Tribolium castaneum: one gene and its partners. The protein of the gene in region 4 purifies or fractionates together with the protein of the main gene of each other region. This does not show direct contact. Links are inferred from orthologs where the notes say so. Each region holds a gene or a part of one and is shown on either strand. Other genes may lie near its edges.

Region 1 (6,148 bases), on a different chromosome or scaffold from region 4:
TAATGGCAAAAATTCTGCCATGTCTCTGGACGGAGCATCACATGCTGGAAGGAATGCGTTCAGTTGAGCCTCCGGTCGGATTATTCATGGTACGTACTTGTGCGGGATTTGCTTGGGCGATTGCCCGCATTCCTAACCTCCTTTCATACTTGAAATGGATTTTAACACCTGGCGCTGGGGCTCAAAACCGACCCCTCCATGGCTTCATGACCTTGCAAGGGGGGCACCAAACACCAGACACCAATTCACCCACGATTCTGACACGGCTTTCGCACAATTTCTCAACATTTGACAATTTATTTAAAAGGACACAGTGGCGCAAATCGGTTTGACGAAGGAATGCGGCAGTGTCTAACGTCACAACCACACACCGACCAATTTTTCACACCAAATAATCACGCGAAATTAACTAATTACGAACGTACCTCACCCCACATAACGCATTTATTCGATTTTTGGCGCAATTATCATAAAAATTGTATAACAAGGCCTCCAAACCCAAAATGTGGTGACCTTAGCCACCACCCGCCATTTTTTCAAATTGTCACAATCACAAGTTCACGGTTAGGTTTATTTTTTTGCGGACAAAATGGATTTAAAAACACTACTGCGGGAAAAAATAACGAAAAGTGGAGGTAAAAATTAATTCATTTAGTTAAAATTTCGACTGGTAATTTTGCCAGGTGCGAAAAAGTCGCCCCCCGAGTTGGAGCAACAAGAAGACGAGTACTTCCAACACTACATGAAGCAATATTGTGACAAACCACCGAACGAAACCACGGGCATTCCGCGTTTTTACAATAAATTACCGAAAGAAGATGAGCCCCTAAGGCAAAAACTGCGCGAGGAGAGCCGCTCCAATTTACTGAAACGTAAAAGTCAAAACTTGTTGGATAACAACGAATTGAAGGAACTGTGGGTGATTTTGGACCAGAACCAGAGCTACCCCGAGGAACAGTTGATAACGTACTCCGATTATCAGAAGGTGGTCACGCTGGTGGGGCCCAAAGTCAAGCCCTACTTCACTTCGGTCGTGTTTGCGAAGCTCCAACAGGGTGACCCCCAGGGCAGAGTCTCGATCATGTCGCTTTTTAACTACGTGATGCGTAAAGTGTGGCTACAGCAGACCAGGATCGGGTTATCGCTGTATGATAGTACGGGACAGGGTTACTTGACTGAAATCGACTTGGAGAATTATATCACTGAGTTGTTGCCAACTTTGCCGCAACTTGAGGGACTGGAAAAGTCGTTTTATAGTTTTTACGTGTGTACGGCCGTTCGGAAATTTCTGTTTTTCCTCGATGGAGTGCGTGCGGGTCGTGTGCGGATTTTAGACATTTTAGCTTGTTCGTTCCTTGATGATTTACTCGAATTGAGGGACGAGGAGTTGAGTAAAGAGGTGCAGGAACAAAATTGGTTTAGTGCCCCTTCAACGTTACGTATTTACGGACATTATCTAAATCTTGACCGTGATCACAACGGAATGTTGAATAAATCTGAACTTGCGGGTTATGGCTCTGGGACTTTAACGCAGCCCTTTCTAGACCGCGTTTTTCAAACGCTTTTGACTTATTCCGGTGAAATGGACTACAAAACTTATCTAGATCTAGTACTAGCTTTGGAAAATCGTGCCGAACCACAAGCTCTTGCTTTTTTGTTCCGCATCTTAGACATAAATAATCAAGGCTACTTGGACTCTTTCACTTTAAATTATTTTTTCCGAGCGATTCAGGAGCAGATGAGGGCCCATGGGGCCGAAGCTGTGTCCTTTGAGGACGTTAAAGACGAACTGTTTGACATGGTCAGGCCTAAAGATCCGGAAAAAATCACCCTGAATGATTTAATCGCCTGTGGGCAAGGGGACACTTTTGTCAGTATTTTAATCGAGTTTCACCGCTTTTGGGCCTACGAGAATCGAGAGGCCGTCACGGCGGAGCCCTCCCAAGACTGATGTTACAATAAATGCAATTTTACATAATTTTCGTCCATTTTTTTCAAAAACCCGCCATTATGGACGTCAATCACGTGACAATAATCTCGAAGTGAGGTTGTGTTTACAATCCAAAAATGAGCGAAACTTGCAAAATCTGTAAATATTGCACAAATAAATTGGAAGATTGTCTCGACGAAGGCCTAACGTGCAGTTCATGTTCGCAAAGTGTTCATTTGCGGTGTCTCAAAAGTGGTTGTGTGCCTGGGGGGCTTCACGGCGATATTTTTTTCACATTCACTTGTGAGGAATGTTCGGAGGCCGGGTCCGAGTCGTTTGTTAGGGAGAAAATGTCTTGGTAATTAGAAATGTAGTAGGTATTTAGGGCGTTCCGTGGACGAGTTCTTTTAGGTTAAAAGTATTAGTTTTGGCTTTGTATCATTTGCAGTCACGAAGTCCGGGTTTGGGGCGCAAGGGGTACTTCCATTGGAGGAACCACATAGCGTCACTAATCGACAAAAACTGGGAGAGTCTGTTTTTGAAGGATTTGTAAGTTCCAACATTTGATTATCACATATTTGTAATTGTTGGTTTTTGTAGTAAAAAGAAAAAAAAATGGGTTGGGACCGTTGCTGGGACTTTATCGCACTTCAGTACGTATTTTTTCAAGTCGGGGACTTCGGTCGTTAATGAACCGGCTTGGTGGGCCCTCACCTACCCCAAACTCACCCCTAACGTAATTTCAAATTTATGTAATTGAGTGAAATAATAATTAAAAAATCAGGAGTGAAAGTATAATTCCAGATGCTGCTCTCACGAACGAGAAGCAAAAAACGAAAATTTTAAAAATATCAGTCTCAGACACTGAATTATTCACACAAATTTTACACAAAAACATCAAAGACGATGATTTGCTAACGCCTTTATTCACTGTCGATGTTCCCAACTTTTCGGAAAAAAATCCAGACGATGAAACCAATAAAAAGGTACAATTTGTTACGTTTTGAACTTACAAATCATCCATTGTTTGTAGATTACTAAAAACTTTACCGTAAATAAAAGAAAAAGTCTTTTACCAACATTTGAGAGCACGTCCAAAAAGTAAGTTTTTCTGTTCAAAGTCACAACATAACAATGCAATTCTAGACTCTTAAAAATGAATAAAAACTCGCCGGTTTTTTCAAACTTAGGTGATGAATTAACGCCAACTTATCTCAAACAAAACGAGCGAAATTTGGGCGAAGCTCAGCCACGTAATAAGCCCCCAAGTGAGCAAAATAAGGAGTCTGTGAAATTGCTCGACCCGTTTTGTCACTACAACACTTGCTTTAGCAGTAAGTCAAGTGAGAGGTGTGCAGGACTAAAGCTAGGAGGCAAGACGAGATTTTTGTAAATATTGTAAAGATTCTGATTTATTGAAAAAGTTGAGAAATTAAGTTAAGTTAAGAAAGGTCATAATTGAATAAAAAAATCTGCCCAAGTACCAATTCCAAAAGGTTATTTTGCGCTTAAAATTTGCTCGATTTTTCGTCATGCCACCAAATATTTTGGTCCCCCATAGTCCCAGGGCTTAAGAATTTACTCCAAAAATAATTTTAGACGCGTTTAGGCAGAAAGGAAGCGAAATGAGAGTCAGGTTGATGGGTGGTATCAGAAAAGAACTAATTCTCTCACCTTACAGCAGCATTTATTTAAAACCTTACATACGAAGAGATACAGAAACTTATCCATCCTGGCTACGCCTAATGGCCGAGATACAAATGAAAGCAAACGAAAAAACACAAAATTACGTTCTACCTCCAAGGGCCCCTATTGACTACACCTACGTCCAACCTGAGCACATACCTGCCATTAACAGTCTCTGCAACAACTTTTTTTGGCCAGGAATCGATCGTAAGTGTCCGAAATGTTACAACACAATTTAATTTTTTGTTGCAGTAACTGAAAGTTTGCAATATCCGGATTTTAGTTGCGTAGTTTTGTACAAAAAATTAATAGTGGCGTTTGCGTTCCTCGTCCCCAATGTTAAATACACCGAAAATTACGTCTCTTTTATTTTTACACGGCCAGGATGGCGAAACGTCGGGATTGGAAAGTTCATGTTGTATCACTTAATCCAAGTAATTGAAAAGTCGATTTTTATTAAACTAGTTGGTTAATTAATTATTTCAGACAAGTCTCGGCAAAGATATCACACTACACGTGTCCATCAACAACCCGGCCTTGTTTTTGTACCAAAAGTTCGGTTTTAAGGTGGAAGCAGTCGTTTTGAATTTTTATGATAAGTATTTACGCGAGACAAGCGAATCGAAACATGCGTTTTTCTGCCGCCTTGAGAGGTGATGTTGCTCCGAGTTGCATCGTGTTTTACGTAATTTATTGAGGCACTTTTTATTAATTTTAATAAAGTGAGAAAGAAACTAAATGCGTCGCCTTTTTGTCACTGGTGGTGTGACTGTGATTGGACTAGATTTACCACTCGAACTGGAATCGTCAGGTTTAGAGCTGCCTCTAGTAGGGCGCTTCGTCAGTTTTGGTGTGTCGTCACTTTTCGCTTTTGCCTTGTTTTCCTCCCTTGGTGTACTACTATTACTCTTACCTTTACTTTTACTCTTTTCAGCCTCTTTCTTGATTTCTTTTTTCGCACTCACTGGGGTTTTGTCCTTACTGTCTTTACTATCACGCCTTGGCACCTCCTTACTGCTCCTCACAGGAGTCTTTTCATCTTTTCGCAATTCCTTGAGCGACTTGGGCGTTTCGCGCCCTTTCTGCGCCAATTTCTTGTCCTCTTCCTTCTTCACAATGAGGGAACCGAAGTCGGAATCGGGAAGTGTGAACTCTTTCTCACTATTCGGGAACGGAATCGACTCACTCTCATCCAAAGCTTCCAAATTGTACATTGTCTCGAGGTGGGCCCACACCTTGTCCGAGTTGATCTCCTTCTGGCAACTATCAGCGAACTTGTCACAGATGCACGCCATTTGGAAGTACTTATTGACGCCTGAAAGGGGGCTTCAGTTTTTTAGGTTAGGTTCGTGGGGGACGTACCGACGGGCTTGTGCCCCACCATGGCCTCCAGGAGCTGCCCCTCGTGCGCCACGTTCCACTCGATCTCGTCCATGGGGCCCTTAATCATTTAAAAACGGAATTAAATTATTTAAAACGCCAATTGACAAATGACTGTTTGAGGGCGCCACTGCCGCCATCACGGTCAATTTGAAATTTTAATTAATCTTTTAGTCATTATTGTTTTACAGGCCACAGATGTATTATCAACTACATTAGAATGTTGTTAGAACACTTCAACATTTTTTTTTTGCAAAATAAATGCATTCAAGTCTTGACACACGTTTTTTTGTTTGTGACCCTGAATCCCGTATTTTCCTTTTTCCTTAAAAAAAATTTAATTTGAGCTCGTCAAAGTACCGATAGTTATTAAAAACACGAGCTACAATGTTGGTAAATGATTTACTGAAGAGTTTGTCCAAAGTTTCAATTTAAAACTGCCGGTTTGGGGAATTTGGCGCCGTGTGCGTGGTGCTCTTGTCAAATTTTGGCGCAATTTGATTCAAATCACGTTTTTTCGTCCTGAAAAGTCCGAGACGGGAACAGAGCCGGACTTGTGGAGCTCGGAATTCGCTTCGGGTGTGGGCCGTGCTTGGAATGATTGTGAGCAATGTGGGTCCGGTCCCCGGCGTTGATTCGGGGCCCAAATAAATAAACAAGACATCCCGGAACTGAATTAGCCGCTCCGGTGAAATGGAGTCTTCGGTTCAACGTTCTGGTTGCGGTCATTGCCTGGTATCTTGTCAGGCGGCTCTTCTACAACACCGGTATATAATCCAGCGTTGCCTTGTTCAGCCTTGCCTTCAAGAATCGATCGAGACAGAGATGGAGGAAAAAACGGCCAAAAATGACTGAACTCGTGAACGCTGGAGGCTCCAGCTTTTATGTAACGCTGCTTTTGGTTATTTTGCAATTAAACGGGCCCCGGGACCTTCACTTCCGAAAGGGGGCGAAAAGAGGGCAATAAACCGTGACTTGTGATTATGGACGTGTTGACACTGCGACCCCCGGTGTCGTATAATTATGCCCGATCGATTGTTTGGAAATGGAAGTGGAATAATTTCGATTCAGTAAATTCGCCGCATTACTATTCGAATTGTTGGCCCCGGAAGGGTCCGGGTGGCTTTGTATGCTTAGTTTCAAATGGTTTTT
Region 2 (6,169 bases), on a different chromosome or scaffold from region 4:
TTTTATTTTCTTTTCATTTTGAAAATGATGCTATATTAATAACTCGTGTACTCCTACCTAACTAATGATACGAGTAGATTTAATGAAATTTAAATCATTCTCAATGAAATCAGAAATCACTAATCACTCTCATTCGTTAAAAAATGATGACCAACGGAGTAATAAATAATTACATGGGGAAAACGACACTGGTAATAGTTGTTTACGTTGAATAAGTAATTAAATTGTTACGTATTATTCCCACAAGCGTGCAATTTATCCGGTTTCCAGCTCGCAACTTTGAAAATAGAGCCACAAAAGGAAGCTGCAGAGGCGCATGAGCACGTTGCGAAACGTAAGTTGAATAATTTATCTTAAAATCCATGAATTTATTTCAACTTTTAAGGAGATCATTCGTCACGATGGCATCCCTCGAAAGTGCTAAAAAACTGGCGGCCTACAAAGCTGTGGACCTCCACGTGCAAAACAATTCCATTGTGGGTGTCGGCAGCGGCTCCACCGTTGTTTACGCCGTTGAGAGGTTAGCCGAACGTGTGAAAAACGAAAAATTAAATGTACAGTGTGTCCCAACGTCCTTTCAAGCCAGGCAATTGATCATCCAGCACAGGCTGCACCTAACCGACCTAGAGATACATCCAAGATTGGATGTTTGCATTGATGGTGCCGATGAAGTTGATTCCACCTTGACATTGATTAAAGGAGGTGGGGGATGCTTATTGCAGGAGAAGATTGTTGCTAGCTGCGCCAAGGAGTTAATTATTATAGCGGATTATACCAAAAATTCACAAAAGCTGGGGGAACAATACAAAAAGGGGATTCCGATTGAAGTTGTTCCGATGGCCTATCTCCCCATTAAAACGCAAATTGAAAACCAACTGGGAGGGACAGTTGAGCTCAGAATGGCTAAAGCCAAAGCTGGACCTGTGGTCACCGATAATGGGAATTTTATCCTGGATTGGAAAAACTTCCAGGATTATAAATGGGACACAATCAACACCAAATTGAATCTCATTCCGGGAGTTGTGGAGACGGGACTATTTGTTAACATGGCCAAGAAGGCCTATTTTGGGTTGGCCGATGGGTCAGTCAAAGAACAAATTTAATTCATCCATTGATTTATTTGAAGGAATGTTATTTAAAAATATATATTTTATATTTTTATATGTTGTATTTTCAAAATTAAATAAAGCATCTCGTGCAACACACATTTTACAATGGTGGTCTAACATGTGTAACCTTTTAACTCAGATTATTTGCCCACTCATCTTTGTCATGTTTCTACGCTTTATTTTTAACAAAAACCCGTATTTCTACTAAAACATCAAAAACAACTTGAATTTTATTTTTAACCCTTTTTTTCTCAGACAGGTTTTTCTAAAAACAATTTATTTTAGAAAAATGAGTCGATTTTAAAATTGATGTTTTTAGGAAAATCTGAGTTAGAAAAAAAGGGTTAAAAATCACAGTCAAATTCAACGTTGTTTTTGATGGTTTAGTAGAAATATATACGAGTTTTTCTTAAAAATAATGCATGAAAATTTGGAAAATGATTAAGACTGAGTTAAGAAGTTACAAATATTAGACTACTTACAATACTGACAATTTGTGCAACGGTGACTAGACGTTTCCAAACAATTAATTGGTACAGGGTGATTCACGCAAGACGACTAGACTAGCCTTACAATTTAATGCAAAACCAAATACATTTTAAACAAATTAAATTGCGAATAGGACAGGAAACTGTGCATTTAATTCTTGTAAGGCTGTCATTTTAGCATTTTACGAAATCACCTGGTATGTTTCCAACTTAGTACAAACTGGTTTTCTTCATAATTCGCAAGAATTCTTCCTGATTGATTTCACCATCTCCATCCCTGTCTGCTTCATCAATCATTTCTTGCAATTCTTCATCTGTGAGATTCTCTCCTAGTTCTTTAGCCACTCTTTTCAGGTTCTTAAAACTGATTTTTCCGGTCTCGTCATCGTCAAACAAGCGAAACGCCTTCATGATCTCCTCTTTCGAATCCTTTTCGGCCATTTTCATGGTCATCAATTGCAAGAAATCATCAAAAGACAGTTTTCCAGTTCCCTGTGTATCAATATCAGCAATCATTTTCTTGATTTCTTCCTTCTTTGGCTCAAATCCCAACGCTCTAATTGCCACCTTCAGGTCTTTGGCGTCGATCTTCCCAGAGCCTTCATTATCAAACAAATCGAACGCCTCTTTAATATCGTTCTTCTGCTCTTCAGTCAACTCAAATTTGGAGCCTGCCATCTTCTTACGAACTGAGGAGAGATTCTTTTTTAAAACAAAGGAAGGGGACGTCGTCTAAAATCAATACTAACGCCTAAGTACTTATTGAAAATAGTCAATTACCATTATCAGGAACGGTTTTATGTTTTTATTCCAAAACTGTTGATGTTGAGATAACACAACCAAACATCCGGCGTTTTAAACAATCTGACAGTCGGGACTACCAACATTTACAAGGCCACCGTCTAAAACGCTTTCACCGCCTTATGAAAAATTGTCTTTTAAAAATTTGTCCACATCATAAAATTCTCTCGTTGTTGTGGGGTGCAGCATGCAATTATTGTTGTATTTTCGCCCGAAAATGGGCTCAAAGTGTGTAGGGATTGTTGGTGTTTCACCAGTTTGACGCATTTGCCCCCAGATGCGGCCGTCCTGCGACTAGTTCGTAGTGTTTCCCGCTACGTATCGCTTCCGAATCATTAAATGAACGGCATTTTTCCAAATTATCGTCGTTAAAAACCAACATTCCGTAGTTTTAGCTAAGAATTTCGCGCACCCAGCACCATGTCCAAAGTGGAAGAAGGCGGTGAAACCGCTGACACTGGTGAGAATTCGGTAAGAGCCTTGTTGTTAAAACAACCACAATAGTAAAAGTAAAAACGGGTCATTGACTCTGCTTTATTTATGAAATTGAAGAATGCCTCGTCTTCGGACACCCTCTCGTCGCGTGGGAAGGGCGAAGACTTCGAGACCAAACTCGAAACGGACCGCAGCCGCCGTTTCGATTACCTGCTCAAACAAACCGAGATTTTCTCCCACTTTATGAACCAAAACAAAACGCCTTCGAAACCGAAATCGGGCCGTCCCAAGAAAATCAAGGAAGACCCAGTGGCGGACCACCGCCACCGCAAGACCGAGCAGGAAGAAGATGAAGAACTGCTGGCCGAAAGCAATGCCAAGGCCAAACCGACGATTCGGTTCGAAGCCTCGCCGCCTTTCATCAAGAACGGGGAAATGAGGGACTACCAAATCCGGGGGCTGAACTGGATGGTGTCTTTGTACGAAAACGGGATCAATGGGATCTTGGCCGACGAAATGGGGCTCGGGAAGACGCTCCAGACCATTTCCTTGCTAGGTTTCATGAAACATTATAAAAACACGCCGTCTCCTCACATTGTGATTGTCCCCAAGTCGACTCTAGCCAATTGGATGAACGAATTCAAGAAGTGGTGTCCCAGCATCCGCGCTGTGTGTCTCATTGGGGACCAAGAGGCCAGGGTAAGACCTGGTTTAGTTTAATTGTGTTTTGACTAAGGTTGGAAAACACAAAGTCCAACCTACGTAAAAATTTATAATATCCAAAAAGAGTGATAGGACAGAGCGCTTTCGCGATTACATTCTTCATCAGTGGCGTAAAAGGGGGCTGGTAACAGGGGGTTAAGGTTAAGGCCTCTTCCTTATCACTGTCAGTACAAAAATGATTAGAAGAGAGAATATGGTTGGAAAAAGTTGAAGCATCTTTATATTTTTCTATGAATTTAAGATGTTTTTCAACCTTAGTCATCATAACAACCCCGCTTTGATAGAATGGATCCTTTAATTCTAATTGTGTTTCGTTAATTATTTTTTTAGAATGCTTTCATTCGGGACGTGATGATGCCAGGCGATTGGGACGTCTGTGTGACTTCGTACGAAATGGTTATCAAAGAAAAATCAGTTTTTAAGAAATTCAACTGGCGCTACATGGTAATAGACGAAGCTCATCGTATTAAAAACGAGAAATCGAAATTATCGGAGATTCTCCGTGAGTTTAAAACAACAAATCGTCTCTTACTCACCGGTACCCCCTTACAAAATAATTTACACGAACTTTGGGCCCTCCTTAACTTTTTACTCCCTGATGTTTTTAACTCTGCTGATGATTTCGACGCTTGGTTTAACACAAACCAGTGTTTGGGTGATAACCAGTTAGTCGAACGCTTGCACGCTGTCTTGAAGCCGTTTCTATTGAGACGTCTCAAATCCGAGGTCGAGAAAAAATTAAAACCGAAAAAAGAACTCAAAGTTTACGTCGGTTTGAGCAAAATGCAGCGCGAGTGGTATACTAAAGTCCTGATGAAGGATATTGATGTGGTAAACGGGGCCGGTAAAGTAGAAAAAATGAGACTACAGAACATTCTCATGCAATTGCGTAAGTGTTCAAACCACCCTTATTTGTTCGATGGGGCTGAGCCTGGGCCCCCGTACACCACCGACGAACATTTAGTCTACAATTGCGGGAAAATGGTGCTTTTGGACAAGCTTCTGCCCAAATTAAAAGAGCAGGACTCGAGGGTTTTGATTTTTTCACAAATGACACGAATGTTGGACATTTTGGAGGATTACTGCCACTGGAGACAGTACAATTATTGTAGATTGGACGGACAGACGCCGCACGAGGACCGGCAACGCCAAATCAACGAATATAATGAGCCAAATAGCTCAAAATTTATTTTTATGTTGTCGACGAGAGCCGGAGGTTTGGGTATTAATTTAGCAACAGCAGACGTTGTCATCATCTACGATTCGGATTGGAACCCGCAAATGGACCTCCAAGCCATGGACAGAGCGCACAGGATCGGCCAAAAGAAACAAGTTCGTGTGTTCAGACTTATCACCGAAAATACAGTCGAGGAAAAAATCGTAGAACGGGCCGAAGTCAAGCTGAGGCTAGACAAGTTAGTGATACAACAAGGGCGTCTAATCGACAACAAATCGCAGTCTTTGAACAAAGACGAGATGTTGAACATGATCCGGCACGGGGCCAATCATGTCTTCGCATCGAAAGACTCGGAAATCACCGATGAAGACATCGACACTATCTTACAAAAAGGCGAAGCAAAGGTAAAATACTTAATTTCCCAGTACTAACAAAGTTCACCTCCTAACTACGTAGGAGACGAAACGAGATCTAATCTACTTTTTTTTATTTGCGTTGTATTCACAGTTATTTAAATACAACCATTTTTTTAATTTATTGAACTATCGAGGAGGTTTAAATTAGTATATCGTTTCGAATCCTCTAGTTATTTGTGCTCCTCCCTGACTATAACATTAATCTAATAAAAAAAAATTAGACAGCGGAACTGGCCCAAAAACTCGAAGCTCTCGGCGAGTCATCCTTGCGCAACTTCACTGTGGACACGCCAACAGAGTCCGTTTACAAGTTCGAAGGCGAGGATTATCGCGAAAAGCAGAAAAACATCGGTTTGAACACCTGGATCGAGCCTCCGAAGCGTGAAAGAAAGGCCAATTATGCCGTCGATGCCTACTTCAGGGAAGCTTTACGTGTTTCTGAGCCCAAAGCGCCGAAAGCACCACGTCCTCCTAAACAACCTATCGTACAAGATTTCCAGTTTTTCCCTCCCAGACTTTTCGAGCTTCTTGACCAAGAAATTTACTACTATCGCAAAACTTTGGGTTACAAAGTCCCCAAAAATTTGGAGTTGGGGCCGGAGGCCGCCAAGCAACAGCGAGAGGAACAGCGGAAGATTGACGAGTCTGAGATGTTGACTGAGGAGGAACAGCAGGAGAAAGAAGCCTTGCTCACCCAAGGTTTCACCAATTGGAGCAAGCGTGACTTTAACCAGTTTATCAAAGCGAACGAGAAATATGGAAGGGATGATATTGAAAACATCGCCAAGGAAGTTGAAGGGAAAACTCCCGAAGAAGTGATGGAGTATTCGGCAGTGTTTTGGGAGCGGTGTCACGAATTACAAGACATTGACCGCATCATGGCACAAATCGAGAGAGGAGAAACGAAAATACAACGCCGTGCTAGCATTAAAAAAGCCTTAGATGCGAAAATGGCCCGATACCGGGCACCGTTCCATCAACTCCGAATTGCCTACGGCACTAATAAAGGCAAAAATTATA
Region 3 (5,899 bases), about 36 Mb from region 4:
AGTGGGATCCACAAAAATAACGGAAAATTCTATTAGATTTTTTTTAAATTTAAAATAAATCGTAGAATTCGCTGAAACAAATTGCTTCGCCCTACGACTTTTAGTTCTAGAGTTATGATTTTTTTTTAGTGAAAAACTAAAAATACCTCTGAAAAAACTTAGTGAGTGAGAAGAAAATAAGCCCAAAAAATCACATTTATGGAATTTTCTGACAAAATTTCTACCATTGTTTTGTTTTTCGTTAGGGACATTTAATAGGTTGGTATCGCGTTGCCCGGCCTACTTTTCCATTTTCGAGTCTTGTTTCATCAAACTCTCGGAGAAAAGCATCGGAACAAGGCAAAAATAAAAGTTCAGACATAATTTGGCCCTTTATCAGCTCTGTTTTCTCGATAAAAATGCAATAATACCAAAAATTGCTAACCTTATAGGTAGCGTCTCCCTCGCTTTTGAACCGGTCCTCCAGCGTTTCTTGGAATTCGTTTCCAGCCGGCAACCGATGATGTCATCTCGTCAGATTTCCAATAGAAAACTTTGATTTCAGTCAATTTGGCACTAATTACGCGAAAAACACTTTTTTAACAACACATAAAAGCAAAAACTTAACGACGCGCTTGTGAAAAAAGTGCGTCCCCACTAGACCACCGCGTGACATCAAGTCAGGACATCTCATTGGTTGGTTCGTCGAGACGTCAAATCGAGAGGCGCGCGATTTCAAATTTGCGTGCTCTCTACATTTGAGGTTCATTTTCGACTTTTTGCTCCAATAACCGAATTTCACAAACGAGCAATTTCGTTTAAATTATTTTTTTTCACCATTCGATAAATAATTTGAAGCACATTCGGATGCCCCTTTTAATTTTTGCCTTATTAGGCTTCAAGATAAAATGTTCGTTAATGGTTTTGGGGAATTGGAAAAAGAAAAAATAATAGTTGTTTCAAAAATTTTATTCAAAATAAACTCTACACTTGAATATTAAAACACGTAGTCCATGCTTTGGCATTCACTTGTTTAAGGATAGCCCTTAGGGACGTGCCTGGGCCACACTCAAACGTCCTTGGGAAATAATCCCCTTGACTCCTCTCATAAACAACATGAAGAAGTTGTTCCCACTTTACAGGTTTAACAATCTGGAGAAAGAAAAACTCAAAACACGAAAAAAAAAACACTTCTAAATTACCTGTTTCGGCAATTGTTTTTTGATCTGCGCTGCGTCTTTGTACTTTTTCCCGTCAACATTTGAATAAACACTAATTACAGGATTGCTCACTTCTGATTTATTTAATGCCTTTCGAAACGGTTCAACCGCTGGTAACATTAAATTGGAATGGAAAGCTCCACTAACCGCAAGTCTTTTAACTTTACGTAAATTTAATTCTTTGGCATTTTTTTCCAAATAATCAAGCGCCTACAATTAACTGCATAACAACTACAAAAATGAAGAAAAAAAATTACAGATTCGCTCCCCGAGATGACTTTACAATGGGGGTACAAATAATTGGCAATTTGACATTCGGGCATTAAGTCGCCTTTATCAGTTGCCCATTCCTTGGCTTTGACTAGTGCCTGGTTTAACTTCGTGTCAGGACCGTACATTACTGTGACCATCCCCCCCTTGTACGCCTCACTAGCCAATTGCATTGCTTCCCCCCGAATTTGCACCAATCGTAACCCTTAAAAAATTCCAAATAAAATTCAATTTTTTGCCAACTGGTTGTAAAATAAACCTCGCTCAAAACCAATCGCCCCCGCAAACACTAACGCTGTAATTTCCCCCAAACTGAACCCTGCTGTCCCCACACAACTCTCAATAGCCCTAGGTCTCTCCTCTTTCAGTCGTTCAATTGCCGCTAAAGAACTGACCATTATTGCCGGTTGACTATATTTTGTTTGGTCCAATTTGTCTTTGGGACCCTCAAGACACAATTTTAACAAATCGTACTTTAAAATATAATTCGCTAACTCAAACAAATCCCTAGCCATGGGGTACTTGAGCAAGTCATTGCACATACCGACAAATTGGCTCCCCTGACCGGGAAATAAAATTATCGAGGACTCGCGTGGATCATATTTAGGTTTTTCGATAAATGAGACACCCTGTTTGCGAATTTTGGTGCCTTGAGGGTATGGCAAAGTAGCCCATTGTTGTTCTTGTGTCTGGGGGTGCAAGTCTTCAAAGGTTGCTGATTCGTCGAGGAGTTTCTTTAGGGGAGATTCTTGCGTTTTTTTCTCATCACAGTTACGATTTGAGGACAGGGAGAAGGGGCGAAGCCCTACCAAAACACGATCGCAGTCTTTCAGAAAATTTCGTGTAATAATTTTAGTAAACATCATGGTATAATTAAACTGTTAATCAAGCAAAACACACAAAACTAATTCAAATAAAAACACATTTTAATGATTCAACTTAACCTCGAATGTCAAGTTGCGACCATATGACCGATTGTTCGCCCAATCTAAACTTTAATCCAAGACGCCAAATTTATCACCACTGATGCAAACTACTCTACTTGAGCTAGCTTTAAGGAAAATTAACGAAAATGAAGATCGGACGGAACCACTTTCGTAAATTTGGTCTTGTTTAAGGTTGTCAAAAGTAAGGTTACAGGTCAGCTGTCAATTTCACGTGTGTAGTGTTTATTTCTTGTATTTTTTTGTAAATTAAGTTATACGAGAGTGAATTGTGTAATATCTAGTCAATTTTTTACAAACAAAATGACAAATACGCAAGAATCGGACATAAATCCTGAAGAAGATTTGTACTATTTCGAAACGGATCACTTGGCTTTGAGAGGAAATAAGGACTATAGTGAGGTTCTTAAAAACTTGCTCATTCTGTGTGCTCAGAGAAAACAAGCAATAAAGGTAAAGTTGTGTGAATTTAGTTACGTTTCGATTAAAAAAGTCTTCAGGACTATAACAAAGCAGTAGAATTGAAGAAAGAAGCACTGGCAGACCCGGCCAAAGTCTTGGAGAAAATTATAAAAGGGGAGTCTTTGGGAATGCCAGATATGCACCGCATGCCTGAAGTAATTACAATTTTTTTGAGATTTTTTTCACCTAATTACATTAGAGAACAAAATATAATTTTTAATAAAGCAAGGAATATTTTGTTCATTTGGTGCATTTTAGTTGCCGGTTATTGACTGGTCAAAGTACGATATTAAAATCCCGGAGGAAAGTTTCAAATTGATTTATTCAGACGGTTCTGAGACTGTTAAGAAAAAACCCGAAACGCCGAAAAAAGAAACGAAAATTTCACATGGGGTAACACATTTTGTAAAATCGGTTCAAATAAAATTGCTTGATTCTATAGAAATGGACAACAGAAGAGCAGAAACGTTTAGAAGAATTGCTCCAAATTTATCCGCCTGAACCGGTTGAAATGAGACGGTTTAAAAAAATCGCTGATGCTTTAGGTAATTAATTAGGCGAAAAATATTAAAACTTGGTTAAATTTTCTTAGGTAATCGAACAATTCAGCAAGTCACGAGCCGAATTCAGAAATATTTTGTGAAATTGTACAAAGCTGGATTGCCAATTCCTGGCCGAATTCCAAAATCTGCCGAAAAACACAAAGTGAATTTACATTATTTTAAGGCACCAAAAAATTATTTTTTTGTAGAGAACGTCATTACATAAGCACCAGCGTCACAATCATTATTTATGGAAACCTACAACTTTTTTCCCCGATTTATGTGTTCCTGTAGTAATGAATGACTTGGATAATGTTCCTGGACCTAGTTCGAAAATTACAGATGAGATACAGCCTTCTACAAGTTCCAATTATCTCATACCTTCGGTTTATCACCAGGAGAGTGAGATTTTGCCCCAAAAAAGTGACAGTGAGTTACAGCTGGAACTTTTAAAACGGATACGAAAAGTTAAAATTAGGGAGAATGAGAGTGGGTCTAATTTCCAACACGTGGGATTTAAAGTAAAAAATAATAATAATTTAGCCAATTTTTTGGTGATTTATTTTCTTATAGTGTGATTATTGCAACGATGAACCAATAATTGGCACCAGATGGCATTGTAACACTTGCAAAAATGACTCAATTGATTTTTGTACAGACTGTGTTTTAACACAAATTTATTCCGATAATAGCCACCCTTTAAACCACAATTTAATCGCATGTGGTGATAGAGAAATTGAAAGTGATTCAGAGTCAAATAGTGGCAGTTTGGATCAAAATAACGAATCAAGTGATGAAGAAATGAGCGATATTTCGGATAATGTCAAGGACCAAGTGATGGCAAACGGAATGGACGAAAGCGAGAAAATTGATAATAAAAATCAAAGTGAAGAAATGCCAAAGTTGGAGTTTGGTAATTATGGTAATGACGAGTTTGTGGACGGACTTGGGTCCGATTTGTTCAGCGAAATTGAAAATCTTTCATACGATTATTTGCACTCGAATTTGTTGCTTGATAAGGATTGAACGTTTTGTTGTTGAAGATTTTATTTATTTATTGCCTTTGTTTGTATGTAAATTTGTGATTGCAATGAAAAGTTTTTTTATATGTTAGCTTTTCGTTTAACCCTTCAGAGCTCTCCTGAAAATCGACGTGATAACGTAACAAAAATCAATGAATAAAACTTTGTTTACAGCTTTGCAAAAATTAGTTACCTTTTTGTTGATCATTTATCTTAATTCTTACATAACTTTTTTAATATTATTCAGTGCGTGTTGTGAATTTTTGCGTGCTTTTAATACGCATTTATTGAAAGTGTTTTTTTTGGTCAAATATTTCGAATTTTCAGAGTTTACTCATAATTTTTTGTAAATAATGCATTCTAGACCTGATTAAGTGATTTCCTCCGTTGTTTTTACAAATTTCCTAAAATTTATTGATTTTTTTAGACTTAATTCTACAATTTTTTACCTATAGTTTAAGCAAAATCTTTCCAGTTTTTTTTTAAATTCCATTGAAAAACAGTTTTAAACAAAATTCTACAAGTTGAATTTAATTTATTCACTGCAACTAATTTATTTAACGTATCACTGACAACTTGACTACACTTATTATTTCATTGAGCGGTCTTTATTCAGTAAAATAAAATATGTATTTAACGTTCTTATCTGTCAAAAGAATAATAAATCATTTATGATGTTTTTATCGTTTCTTATCGTAAAAATACATTTCCGTTTATATTTCATTTTATTACAACTGCAATTATAAATTACATAACATCTCAATAAATAATTTCTTATGTAGCATTTGGATTATCGGGTGGCACAGCCGCGAATAAAATCTGAATAAAACGTGTAAACTTTCCTAAAAATTGCAACAATTAGTAAATTACCCCACAAAAAATTGTAAACCTCATACTCATCAACAATTCCGGTGTTCGCTTCTTGTAAACAAACCAATAATAAACCAAAACCCCCACCAAAATAAACGCCAAAGCGAGCAAATATTTCGGAGTTGGATCCGTAATAATGGGCGTAACACTCAAATAAATAGCTACCAATAAAACGAAAACACAAATCCATGTAGGCACCTGAAAAAAATCATTAAACCAAACCGAAAAAAAGATTTTATATGTACTTTGTAGGGTCGAGGAGCATCTTTCATAGTCCTCCTTAAGACAAGTAACGAGACAAAAGCCAGCCCGTAGAATATCCAAATGAGGAAACTAACAAATTCGATCAGTTCAACAATATCCCCAGCTACGATAAAAAGGAGCGATAAAATCCCCTGAGAAACGACAGCGAATGACGGAGTTAGACGTTCATGATGAACGAAGGAAAGACTTTTGATCATTAGGCCGTCCTGTCCTGCCACATAACACACCCTTAAATTATTTAATTCGTTAAAAGACACACAAAATTAATTTTTTGGTACCTAGTGACCCCAAATTGTATACTTAGGGCACATCCAAACGTAGCTAAC
Region 4 (4,615 bases):
ACTGAATGGAGTCATTAATTGTTTGCCGTTTTTGGCCAGTTTGATGCAATGTCAATGTAAGTTTTTTTTTAGTATAAAATTAATTTTCTCGCGAGATTTTCCTCAAACAAACCGAAAAATCGAGTAAAATGACATTATTTTTTTTAGTTTTAAAAGTCAAAAAATATGATTATGTCTATATCTTTTTTTCTCAAAAATTACCACAATTGGCCAAAAATTATTTGAAATTACCATTATTTTGAGCTTTTTAATTTAATTTTCTGTAATTTTTTTGTTACAAACTAAAAAACTTTGGGATTTTACTGAAACTAGGCCAAAAGTCACACCTTCTGATAAAAAAATTAAGCTATTTTCGTTTTTCCAGCGTTTGAAAGCGGTTTTTTAACTAAATATTCACTTTTTTTGCGCTAAAAACTATATAGCTTTGTGAGATTTTACTAAAACTTGGCCAAAAGTCACATCTTTTGATAAAAAAATAAGCTATTTTCGCTTCTTTTCAATATTTAAGCACAAAAAATTGCGTTATTTTTGCCTTTTTTATATTTATATTTTATTATATATTCGCTCATTTTTATGAAACCCACTCAAAAAGGTACATAAATATTACCTAGATAAAAATTAAGTATTAGTATTTAATTAAGTACGGCCAAGAAATTACAAAATGGGGTCCAAAACCACTTGATTTTTCCATTTTTCGAGTTTTTAATCATGTTTTGAGCTTTTTCGAACATTCAGTTCCGTGTTTATCAACAAATTTTTTTCTAGTGATTGTTACTTTTGCTTAAAATCATACATGAAGACTTCTTAAGAATTATTTTCGCTTTTATTAAAATCGAGCTTAAGTTGGCAACGCCGAATTATTTGCCCGTCAGTGTTGCCAACCTAAATTTCAAAGTCAGTGCCTACTTTGGCCCGATTTTTAACCAATTTGCAGGCAACGTTGCAAAAATCACAGAAAGCGACCTCAAAGAAGTGGGAATTGTGAATAAATCGGACCGGGTCCACATTTTAGACGCATTCCAAATGTACCGAAAGGAGCAAATACCGACCGATACGGCCCCCTCAGCTCCAGTGCTGCCAATCGAAGAGGCAAGTGCGCCACCACTCGAAAATGTCGCAAATTTGGGGACTGAATGCGTCATTTGTTTGGACTCAACTGTATGTTGTTTATCTCAAATTAAGGCGAATTTTGGTGTTTTTTTTTTGCAGTGTGAGGTGATTTTCGTGCCATGTGGACACTTCTGTTGCTGTTCCCAGTGTCCTGTGACCTTGAACGACTGTCCAATGTGCAGGACTTCAATCGAACGCAAAATTAGAATAATTTCATAGTTCGTTCAACTGCCGTCACTTTTTTTGCTCAGTGTTGCTAAAGTGTGAATTCTGCACGATTTGTGGCCTTAATCTAGTCAGTTGTTACTTTTTCTCATGAATAAAAAACTATCACAAAAAATTTATTTTTTATTACGATTCTCCCGTTTCTTCCTCTTCCACGGCCTCCTCGTCGTTGTCTTCCGCCATTTCAACGTCGGCCCCCTTCTTCACTTTCTTCTTCTGCTTCGCTTCTTTGAAATCTGAAGTCGGTTTTTGAAACGTGAACATAACCTCAAAAAAAAACTAACCTCTCAGCATCACACTTAAGGGCTCCACGAATTCGTCAAACTCGAGCTCTTCTAACGCTGTTAGAATGTCTTGACCCAGAAGAGTCTTTCTGTTCACTTTTTGCGCCTCTTTGGTGGCTTGTGAGGTTATGTACAGGACAAAAATTGAAGCGGCCCTTGACAGGGCCGAACGGGCGTCTTTACCAACACTGACGTGTTCAGGCAATGCGTCTTTAATTATCTTTTGCACCGTCATGTTCGGCAAATTCAAATCTTCCAGTTTTTCGGCCATTTGGTCACAAAATTCACAAAATTACTTTTCCCACCAAAAACAAAAAACGCGCATGCGCAATGCCAACCGCCATGTTTGAATTTTGATTAAAAAATCATTAATTTGTTTATTATTGGTCACCTAATAATTATAAATTTGTGTTTTTTGTTTAATTAAGCTTGGGGGGCTCGTGACGAATGGGGTGGTTTATTTTAGGGGCTGTTTTTTGCAGTTTTGGTGGGGGGCCTTGAACTATTCACCCTTGTTGGCCTTGGTTATTGAGGTTATGTTATAAACGGTTGACGTTTTGAAAATATGTGAAAAAGGTGAGTTAATTTTGCATTTTCTCACCTAAATTAACACAAATGTGGGTCAATTCGTGAATTGTACGTCAGTCTAATCAATTTCCAGTCGTAATTCGCTAAAAAAAGGGGGTTCAGAAATGTCCATAAGCCAAGTGGAAAATGTCAGCACTCGTGTAAAAAACACAAAAAAAGAGATCGAACAGCTCAAAACCGAGCTAGAGAAGCTCATAAGTCTTGGGACCCAGCCCCCTGAGCCCCCCACCCACAAGCCAGCCCCTGATACCCAAACCGTTAAAAAAAAGGCGCCCCCCGATCCCGAGAAAAAGCCCCGCAGTTATGACGTCACCGAGGCGCGTAACTACATCAAAAAACAGCGGGAAAAACGCGCCGAACAATTGCGGGCCCAAATCAACACCACTGACAATAAACTCGATCTGAAAAAGCAAAAACTGAAAGAATTACACCAGAAAACACTCGAGCTGGTGACAAAAAACGTGCAGTTGAAGCGCGAACGCTCGAAATCGCGGGACAAGGGCGAGCCCCCTGTCCGGATCGACCGCTCGAAGGCGCGGGAGAAAGGGGGCCCCCTTGTCCGAACCAACCGCCCGAAGTCACAGGACAAGGGGGGCCCCCCGAAAATCGACCGCTCGAAGTCGCCCGCACAAAAAGTTTCTGAGGGCTCCGAAAAGACGCAAAAAAGCGAGAGAATTTCGAGGGCCAAGGCCCGGGAGCCCCAGAAATTGGCGAAAACGTCGTCTGAGGCGAAAGAGACGCAAACGTGCGACAAGGGGGCGCCCTGGCTGGAGCCCCCTTGTGCGGCGTATCCGTACAATTTTATAAACACAGTTAAGAGAAAATTGCAGTTTGCTGTGAATTCGCCCCGGAATTTTATCGACATTGGGGTGCAGAATTCCGGGACTCCGCCCCTGGAAACAAAATCGAGGGAAGAAATTAAAGAACTGTTGATTAAAAGTGCCAAAAGTGAGTTGAGATCGTTTGTTTCGCACAAATGTCTCGACTTGAAGCCTGTGGAAAATTTAGAATTGAGAGAAGTGTCGAAAAATTTGTTCAATAATTGTGATAGTGGTAGTGAGTCGGATACTTCGAAAAATATTCCCGACATTTCGAGTGAAAGTCTAAAGCTCGATTTCGATAAATTGAAAAACTACAAGTTGCAGAAAAGTGACGATAGTTACAGTTCGGATTTTCACAAAGAAAGTGTTTCATTTAAATCGCTCCTAACTGAAAAAAAAGTATCGAAAAATTTCTCTGATTCGGATTCGGTTCCCGAATCTTTGACGATGAAACAACCAAATGTTTCGCTTTCGGTTCGTAATTTGAGTCTTGCCAATGGGAAAATGAACACGGTTACGATTAAATCAGCTAGTGAAAAAAACTATTTATCGGATTCGAATTTTTCGCAAGAAAAACAGTCGTTTAAATCGCTCTTGGTTGGAGGTAAAAATTCAGAATCGGTTTCGGATCATTTGGAAACGAGTAAAATTATCACAACTGAAGAAAACACCAATAATTTGGAAACAAGTTCAAAGAATTCGAGTTCTAAAATTATTACCGAGGAAAATACGAGTAACAACAGGTCTTTGAGTTTGGAGAAGCCACAAAATGATGGTAAAAATCAGCTGAAAAATATCACACTTAGGCCAAGTTCTAGTACGGTAAGTTGTTTTTTTTTGTCTCATTTAGAACAGTTTTGAACCGAAACATTTCAATTGATTTCAAGAAAAAAAGGTTGAATTTTCACCGGAAAATTCTAAAAACTCCAACAAAAGATTCTAAAAATATGTAGTAAGCGGATTATTGTAAGACCAAAGTTTGTAAAATTGAGTCAGAAATGCAGTTATTTTTCACCGAAAAAAAAAAATAAAATCGAAATATTTTTCCAAAAAAAGGTGTTTACTTATTATTTACTTACAAAGAGAATAAGTAAATTTGAGAAATGCAATCAAAACAAGTCAAAAAAAGTGTAAAAACATGTTCTATTTTTTCCGTTTAACCTGATTTTAGAGAATTTTTTGGTTGAAAAATTCATTAAATTTGAGAAATCCTCTAAAAAACTAGGCAGAGATTGTGTAAAAACTTCATGTACTCAGAAATTTTGCCAAAACAAGACCAAAATTTGTAGAATTACGTCTGAGATGCCTTATTTTAGTCAATGTTTACAATTATTTTTAAAAAATTTCGCCAGAGCCAAGGCAAAAAACTTGAAAAATTGGTTTTATCTGTAATTTCAGTACATTTTTAAGTAAGAAAACAAGGCAGAAATTAGTAAATTAAAGAATAAAATGCGTTATTTAAATCATTATCTGCTAAAAAATCCATCGAATTTGAAAGATTTCATCAAAATAAGGCAACAATTTTCATTTTTGTGTACTTATAATCTTATCAACAAAATAGAAATAAATTACGAAATTTTGAAGTCA
Region 5 (6,175 bases), on a different chromosome or scaffold from region 4:
TTCAAATGAGCTGACGTAAATAAGCTAAATTTATTTTATCTCTTCGGTCCGGAACTGGGATCATTGTGCTGGGTTTGGGGTTTAGGGCGCCTTGAGACAATTTTACCATCAAATTACCAACAATAGGGGCAATTTTTATTATTTTGAAACGGTCGGACACGTAATTTGTTACGTAAACAATAATAAAAAGTGTGAATTTGAAGTGATTTTGAAGTGTGAATAAAACAAATTTTGTCTATTTATTATTATCCTACTTTATTTATTTCCTTTTCATTCCCATTTTTTCGAAACATCGGCATAATCACCGTCCGGGCTTTCGTAATTGTCGATAGCTGGCGTTTCCAAAGGCCCCTCGCTCTTAAAGGGCAATAATCTGAAATCAATCTGGACAAAAAAATATATTTTGCGAAAAAAAGCCCCAGTCACCTGCATTGCTTCCTGATACAACTCCTCCGACTCTTTCCGCAGCTCATCCAAGGCTTTTTGTTGCGCAAAGAAAATCCGGTCCAGCATTTGGACGTCCGTAAGATGCTCATTTTTCCGATAAGTGGCCCATTGTTTGTCCAAAAGTGCTCTTTGTTCCAATTCACTGTCAGAAAGTGCAGGCAAAGACCTCATCCTTGATTTTTTCTCATCTAACAGAGTGAGGGGCACTTCACACTCTTCGATAGGTTTGAACTGGCGCGCGTGCTTCTCCAATCGCCGGATTTGCTTCTCAATTTTCTTCTTCTTGCGGTCTTCTCGTGCTTTAATAACTGCAGGGTCTAGTTTTTTCTTCTTCTTCAAAGGCTCGGCCCTAGATAATTGGTGAATTGGGGGCCTCGTTTCGTTATTACTTACATGAGACATGGTGTTGCCCTAAAATTGAGAAAGACACTCGTTGCAATTCCCCGTCTTGGGCACGACTGGAGGGCTAGCCTAAAAAATGTCACAGTTAGTGCCAATTACTCCAAACTTATACCACACCTATTAAATGTGTTTATCAAAGACCAGGCGCTCATTTCTTGCCTTTTTTCCTAAAAAAAATCGGCAAAAATAGAAATAGGCCAAAATTTTGAGGTTAGAACATAACCTCACATAACCCCAAAAATGAGCCAAGCTACGAGTTCAAACAGCGAAGAGATAAGTAACGAAGACCGTTTACTGGAATTAGCCAAGGCCAAGCCTGAGGGGATTTCAAACGAGAACATAAAACAGGCAATTCCTAATTTACCCCTCGAAGAACTCGCCCTGATAATCAACAAGTGTTTAAAAAATGGGTTCGTGGGCGCAATCACCCCCTAATTCTATTCCTAACCAAAATTTTCAGTTCCTTGGAGTTGTTCAAGACCAAAGACAAGCTCCTCTACAAATACAAAGACTCGTCGAAGAAGCCCGCCATTCGGGGGGCCGACAACGAGGAAAAAGTCGTGTTTAAGATAATCGAAGAGGCTGGCAACAAGGGCATTTGGATTCGAGACATTCGCTTCAAGTCCAACCTCAACATGACGCAACTAAACAAAGTCCTCAAAAGTCTCGAGACGAAAAAAATAATCAAAGCCGTAAAGTCAGTCTCGGCCAGTAAGAAAAAAGTGTACATGTTGTACGACTTGGAGGCCGACAGTTCGGTCACGGGGGGCGCCTGGTACCAGGACCAGGACTTCGAGTCGGAGTTTGTGGACGTTTTGAGCCAACAGTGCTGCCGGTATTTGCGCCAGAAGTGGGAGGATGCGAACAGCATGGGGGGCGGCCCGCTCCTGGCCCGAAACCGGAGCTACGCCACGGCGCAAGACGTCCACAAATTTATTTCCGAGCTGGGGATTAGTAAAATTTCGCTGTCAGTGGACGATATTGAGAGCATTTTGTATACTGTTGTTTTGGATAATAACGCGGAGCGGATTGTGGCCACGAACGGCTCGTTTTTGTACCGAGCGGTCAATAAATTTATGCAAACACCTGGCATTGTGACAACCACTTGTGGGGTTTGCCCCATAGCCAGCAGGTGCGCCGATACCGGTTTTATTAACCCGAAAGTTTGTAATTATTTCACGGAATGGCTCGAATAAAGTGTTTCGCAACAAACTGGTGTTTTTTTTATCCCGTATTAATTAATTAAGGTTATGTTTGTGGGGGAACATAACCACAAAAAAGTGTGGAACATTTTGGTGGTCGCAGGTTTTTTAAATGTCCGTTCTTGGGCACAGCTTTTGGCAGTCACCTGCGCTCCGCGCATGCGCCGGAGCCCCGAAGCCGAAGAGGTTGTCTGTTTGTCATGAATGGTGTGAGAAACGCAATTTTATTGCGGAAATTTTCGGTTAGTTCGCTTTGAATCTCGCCATTTCATGTCAGATTTGGTTGCTAATCCATCAGTGTTGCGTTGTGTGTGTTGTAAATGTGGGAGCAATTCTGATTAGACTTGTTGTGGAGTCGTGAGTTTTCCCTCCAAATTGCGATGCCTCTTTTGAGGAGAAAGCCCTTCGAAAAAGCGCCGGTCCCGGAGGATATCCGCGATGACGAGGAAGTTTTCTACTGTGGGGCCACCAACGAGATTTTCCGGGATTACGAGTGAGTTTTTGCGGCGGGTTATTTGGAACGTGGTTGCTTTCAAACGCTTGACCTAACGGTCCACTGTACCTACGCCATCGACCTCAAATTTAACGCAATCGGAGATCGGAATCGATTCAACGCTTGGCTTTTCAGGGACTTCTCCGAGAGGATGTTCCTGTGCAATTCGATGATTTGGACATGTGCGATGACGGGAAAACCGAATTTAACGTATGCCGAGGCGCTGGAAAGCGAGGAAAACGCGAGGAAAAGCCTCAAAGAGTTCCCAGCTGAGCTCAAAATACCACTCCTGTACTTGGCGAGTCAGACAAAACGGACGTCCTTTGTTGACATGGCCGAAGACGTGTACTTGTTCACCAAAGACAGGTACTTTATCGGCGAAAACGTGGAAACCTCGTTCACGGAAACCAAGTGGAAGGACTCGCACGTGCTACAAGTCATACCGCCCCCAAACAAACAAACCAAATCGCCGACAAAAAACGGGTAAGTCCCCTGATACTAAAACGCCAAATTGCGTCATTTTAATCACAAACCGTTAGAAACACCAATGACAAGCACTGCAACCCCCCGGCGAACCTCTACAAGTACGAGATCGAGCACTTGGACGCCAACGATCACGACATAAGCGAATTTATGATCGTTGACTGCAGTCAAATGCGCCGCAAAAAGGGCACTTACTCGCGCGAAAAGTGCAAGCTGTTCCTTAAACAATACGCCGAGCAGGACAGTAGAGGCGTTTTCGTCATAAAACCCTCAGCTTTGAAAGCCTTTAATTTGGATAAAATCACTTTCGATAAAATTTTCGGCGGCCAACCGCCCGAATTCAGTCCGTCGAAGAAATTCGTCAAGAAAACGCGACAAGAATCGCTCGATAAATACCTCACGAAGAGTACCAACTTTGCGAAGAACGGTAACAATGATTTACTTGAGAGAATGAGGAAGAAGGAGGAGGAATTCAAGCAGGCCAGGCAGCAAAAGAAGGAGAAAAAAATCGAAATGAAGCAGAAGAAAAAGGAAGAGAATCTTCAACTTGCCAAACAGTTGAAGAACTGGAATAAGCCAAAAGAGGATCTGGAACTTGTCGATCAAAAAGTCCGTGTTTGGTTGCAAACGAATTGGAATTATTAATTTTTTTGTAGAAATTGCCAAAAGCTAGTCCAGTAAAACTGAAAATTGCCGATGAATACGTGGGGGACGTTTTAATGGTGCTAGAGTTTGCAAACACGTTTTCCAAACTTTTGCACACCAAGGATTTTTTCCCAGGGGGGCTCTCGCTCGAGATTATGGAGAGGGCATTGACAGAAAATGAGGTATTTTTTTTAAACAATTGTCATTTCAAATGGCTGAATGAATGGGAAAAAGAATCATTAATAATGTTTATGCAAGACGATTTTCTCCCGTACAATTTTAAAAAACTTGCACTTTGAAGCTAAAAATGGATTCCTTTTGTTATCAATTATTATTAAATGTTTTTTTAAGTTTTTATTTAATTTCTTGCCTTGTTGTCTATTTCTCTGGTTTCATATTTTCCGAGTCAAATTCGAGAGGGTTGCTGTTAACCGAATAAGGTGGAATTTTGCATACATACGTAATTTCTATTTATTTTTAAAACAATAAAAAAAATTCCCTCAAAGACCAAATTATAACACCCTAAAATCTTTAATTTCTGAGATTATTAACTGTTACTTTTATGCACCAAAACTTTCGGAATGTTTTGACAATATAAAAGACAACTTTTATGTAACTGAAATAATTTTTCCAAAACTACCAAAACATTAATTGTTAACGTACTTTTTCTTTTTGATAATTGTTAGTCGATTATTATTTTTGTTATAATAAAATTGCAACATAATTTTTTGTGTCCCGTCCGTAATCTCACTATTTTCTTTTTTTATCATACACTTTCGCTGTATTATCTGTTTTCATGAAAAAATCATTTAAATATATCTAGCCCCTCTAACATATTTGTGTTCTTTTGAAAGTATTTACAGTTTTTTACTTATTTTTGACACAATTTTTACTGTCCCGTCCGTAATCAATGATCTATAACGATTTTGGAAAAGTTGGCGGCATAAATATTTAACTTGATAAGTCAGTTTGAAAATAAAATTTGACACAATTATGTCCCGTCCGTAATCATGGAATGACTGTTTATTAAAAAAATAAAAAGTTATTAATGAATCTCGGTTTGACGTCCAGTGTGCCACTTCAGTTTTTTTTTTTGCATTATTTGGAACGTTGTTATAGGTGGCTGGCCCCCTCATCGACCTGTTCCAAATGCTGTTGCTCGCCCTTTTCCACGTGCAAGAGGAAGAGGCTTCTCAGTATCGCACCGAAACCGAGACTTTGAACCTGAAACAGGAGGAAATTTCCGATAATATGAACCTGCAAGAGGCCACTCGATTAGCGACCATTGCCGCCGGTTGGAGCAAAAAATACCAAGGGCTTCCGTTGGCCCAATTACCCCTCTATTCGGTTACGACATCGGAAGTGTTAAGATTACACCTGTTATCATCCGGTGCTATAATAAAAATGAGCGGCGCGAGATGGCGCTACCAACAACGAGGGGGTTACTTAAGCGAAGACGATCCCGGATTGTATTTACGTCTCCACAGCCCCCATATTCTCAAAGCTTTGAAGACCCACAACGTGGTTGAGTTACCGATCGTCGATAAGTTGCAAATTTTGTCGTGTTTGATGAATCAACTGTTGACGTATGCCGATGTTAGGGACGTTGTCGAGGAACGCATGGAGAATATTCGACAAGCGAAGCACGAATATAAAACTATTTTAAGCGCGGAGAAAAAGCGAGAACAGGAGTTTCTGACTGCGAGGTTCAAGCTGAAAAAATCGGCGAAAACGGACGAGAAAGCGGCAACTGAATTACGCAAGTTGGAGGCGGAAGCCGAGCATAGACGCATGGAAAACCAGCGGAAAATGGTGGTGTTACAAAAGGCGGTGTACGAGAAACAAGTCTTGTTGGGACAAGACCGGGCGTTTCGCCGCTTTTATCGCCTCGAGTCCATCCCTGGATTTTTCCTCAACTCGGAAGAGGAAAATCCAGGCACCTGTTTGAGCAATATTATCGAACAAATGCCGCATTTGGTCAATGCGACACGTGACGAGGTTTTGGACCACTTGAAGAAAACACTCAAAGAATCAAATTCCAGCGATAAGGAGAACAGTCCGGCGAAAAATCGCAAAAACGGACAATGCAACGGTGTTTTAGACCAGAAAATCGAACTCTGCGATGATTTAATGATGTGTTCCGCCAACCCCGACACTTGTGTCGTCCATTCGAACGAGCGTCGGAAAAATTTGTGGGGTTTCTACCACGAAAACGAACAAATCGATCAATTGATCGACGGTTTGAACAAGCGAGGAGTGCGCGAGAGTGAGTTGCAACAAAACTTGACGTATAACCGGGACGATATCGAGAAATTAATCCGCGAAACGCCCGTCAATAGCTTAAATTTCGAGATGGAAAGTCGGGAAGAACCCAAGCGGAGGAAAGTTAAACCTAAGTATGAAGACGCCAACTTGGGGTACCCCCCAGATATGACGCCCACCGACGTCTTACATAGCGCCCTCATCGAGAACATTCTCGAAATGGAGGAGAAAATCTTCGCCG

What was found.
Region 1: the proteins of DNA polymerase epsilon subunit 3 (region 4) and Atac2 purify together in Drosophila melanogaster (affinity purification with mass spectrometry; 4 studies listed by BioGRID). This does not show direct contact. The link is inferred for Tribolium castaneum from reciprocal best matches to the Drosophila melanogaster genes Chrac-14 and Atac2.
Region 2: the proteins of DNA polymerase epsilon subunit 3 (region 4) and Iswi fractionate together in Drosophila melanogaster (co-fractionation; 4 studies listed by BioGRID, with this or other methods). This does not show direct contact. The link is inferred for Tribolium castaneum from reciprocal best matches to the Drosophila melanogaster genes Chrac-14 and Iswi.
Region 3: the proteins of DNA polymerase epsilon subunit 3 (region 4) and Atac1 purify together in Drosophila melanogaster (affinity purification with mass spectrometry; 3 studies listed by BioGRID). This does not show direct contact. The link is inferred for Tribolium castaneum from reciprocal best matches to the Drosophila melanogaster genes Chrac-14 and Atac1.
Region 5: the proteins of DNA polymerase epsilon subunit 3 (region 4) and Acf purify together in Drosophila melanogaster (affinity purification with western blotting; 3 studies listed by BioGRID, with this or other methods). This does not show direct contact. The link is inferred for Tribolium castaneum from reciprocal best matches to the Drosophila melanogaster genes Chrac-14 and Acf.

What each region holds. Positions count from the first base shown.
Region 1 is NC_087396.1:22,634,999-22,641,146, forward strand, and holds Atac2 (cysteine-rich protein 2-binding protein), read left to right. Parts: upstream 1-1,998; 5' UTR 1,999-2,067; coding exon 2,068-2,288; intron 2,289-2,341; coding exon 2,342-2,479; intron 2,480-2,530; coding exon 2,531-2,682; intron 2,683-2,734; coding exon 2,735-2,916; intron 2,917-2,963; coding exon 2,964-3,031; intron 3,032-3,076; coding exon 3,077-3,264; intron 3,265-3,529; coding exon 3,530-3,823; exon of another isoform or gene 3,824-3,868; coding exon 3,869-4,050; exon of another isoform or gene 4,051-4,102; coding exon 4,103-4,273; 3' UTR 4,274-4,350; downstream 4,351-6,148. Other genes in the region: XK-related protein 7, read right to left, coding at 1-21; serine/threonine-protein phosphatase 2A regulatory subunit B'' subunit gamma, read left to right, coding at 590-635, 684-1,951; MrgBP (MRG/MORF4L-binding protein), read right to left, coding at 4,351-4,931, 4,979-5,066.
Region 2 is NC_087402.1:7,784,436-7,790,604, reverse strand, and holds the start of Iswi (chromatin-remodeling complex ATPase chain Iswi), read left to right. Parts: upstream 1-2,654; 5' UTR 2,655-2,818; coding exon 2,819-2,869; intron 2,870-2,950; coding exon 2,951-3,532; intron 3,533-3,886; coding exon 3,887-5,137; intron 5,138-5,370; coding exon 5,371-6,169. Other genes in the region: Rpi (ribose-5-phosphate isomerase), read left to right, coding at 402-1,103; uncharacterized protein LOC660873, read right to left, coding at 1,808-2,329, 2,378-2,380.
Region 3 is NC_087394.1:37,103,251-37,109,149, reverse strand, and holds Atac1 (ZZ-type zinc finger-containing protein 3), read left to right. Parts: upstream 1-2,531; 5' UTR 2,532-2,716; coding exon 2,717-2,866; intron 2,867-2,913; coding exon 2,914-3,030; intron 3,031-3,133; coding exon 3,134-3,268; intron 3,269-3,317; coding exon 3,318-3,420; intron 3,421-3,467; coding exon 3,468-3,580; intron 3,581-3,626; coding exon 3,627-3,938; intron 3,939-3,990; coding exon 3,991-4,443; 3' UTR 4,444-4,521; downstream 4,522-5,899. Other genes in the region: beg (probable malonyl-CoA-acyl carrier protein transacylase, mitochondrial), read right to left, coding at 964-1,131, 1,182-1,409, 1,457-1,674, 1,729-2,335; b(0,+)-type amino acid transporter 1, read right to left, coding at 5,214-5,281, 5,336-5,507, 5,555-5,801, 5,852-5,899.
Region 4 is NC_087394.1:1,508,036-1,512,650, forward strand, and holds DNA polymerase epsilon subunit 3, read right to left. Parts: upstream 1,963-4,615; 5' UTR 1,891-1,962; coding exon 1,620-1,890; intron 1,572-1,619; coding exon 1,462-1,571; 3' UTR 1,446-1,461; downstream 1-1,445. Other genes in the region: E3 ubiquitin-protein ligase LRSAM1, read left to right, coding at 1-56, 935-1,158, 1,210-1,329; centrosome-associated protein 350-like, read left to right, coding at 2,312-3,850. UniProt on the Drosophila melanogaster protein: Accessory component of the DNA polymerase epsilon complex. Participates in DNA repair and in chromosomal DNA replication. Histone-like protein which promotes nucleosome sliding of ATP-dependent nucleosome remodeling complexes.
Region 5 is NC_087396.1:20,817,749-20,823,923, reverse strand, and holds the start of Acf (bromodomain adjacent to zinc finger domain protein 1A), read left to right. Parts: upstream 1-2,193; 5' UTR 2,194-2,431; coding exon 2,432-2,544; intron 2,545-2,679; coding exon 2,680-3,027; intron 3,028-3,083; coding exon 3,084-3,636; intron 3,637-3,683; coding exon 3,684-3,854; intron 3,855-4,791; coding exon 4,792-6,175. Other genes in the region: mRpL40 (large ribosomal subunit protein mL40), read right to left, coding at 271-384, 427-796, 841-918, 967-1,001; Polr3F (DNA-directed RNA polymerase III subunit RPC6), read left to right, coding at 1,090-1,259, 1,310-2,045.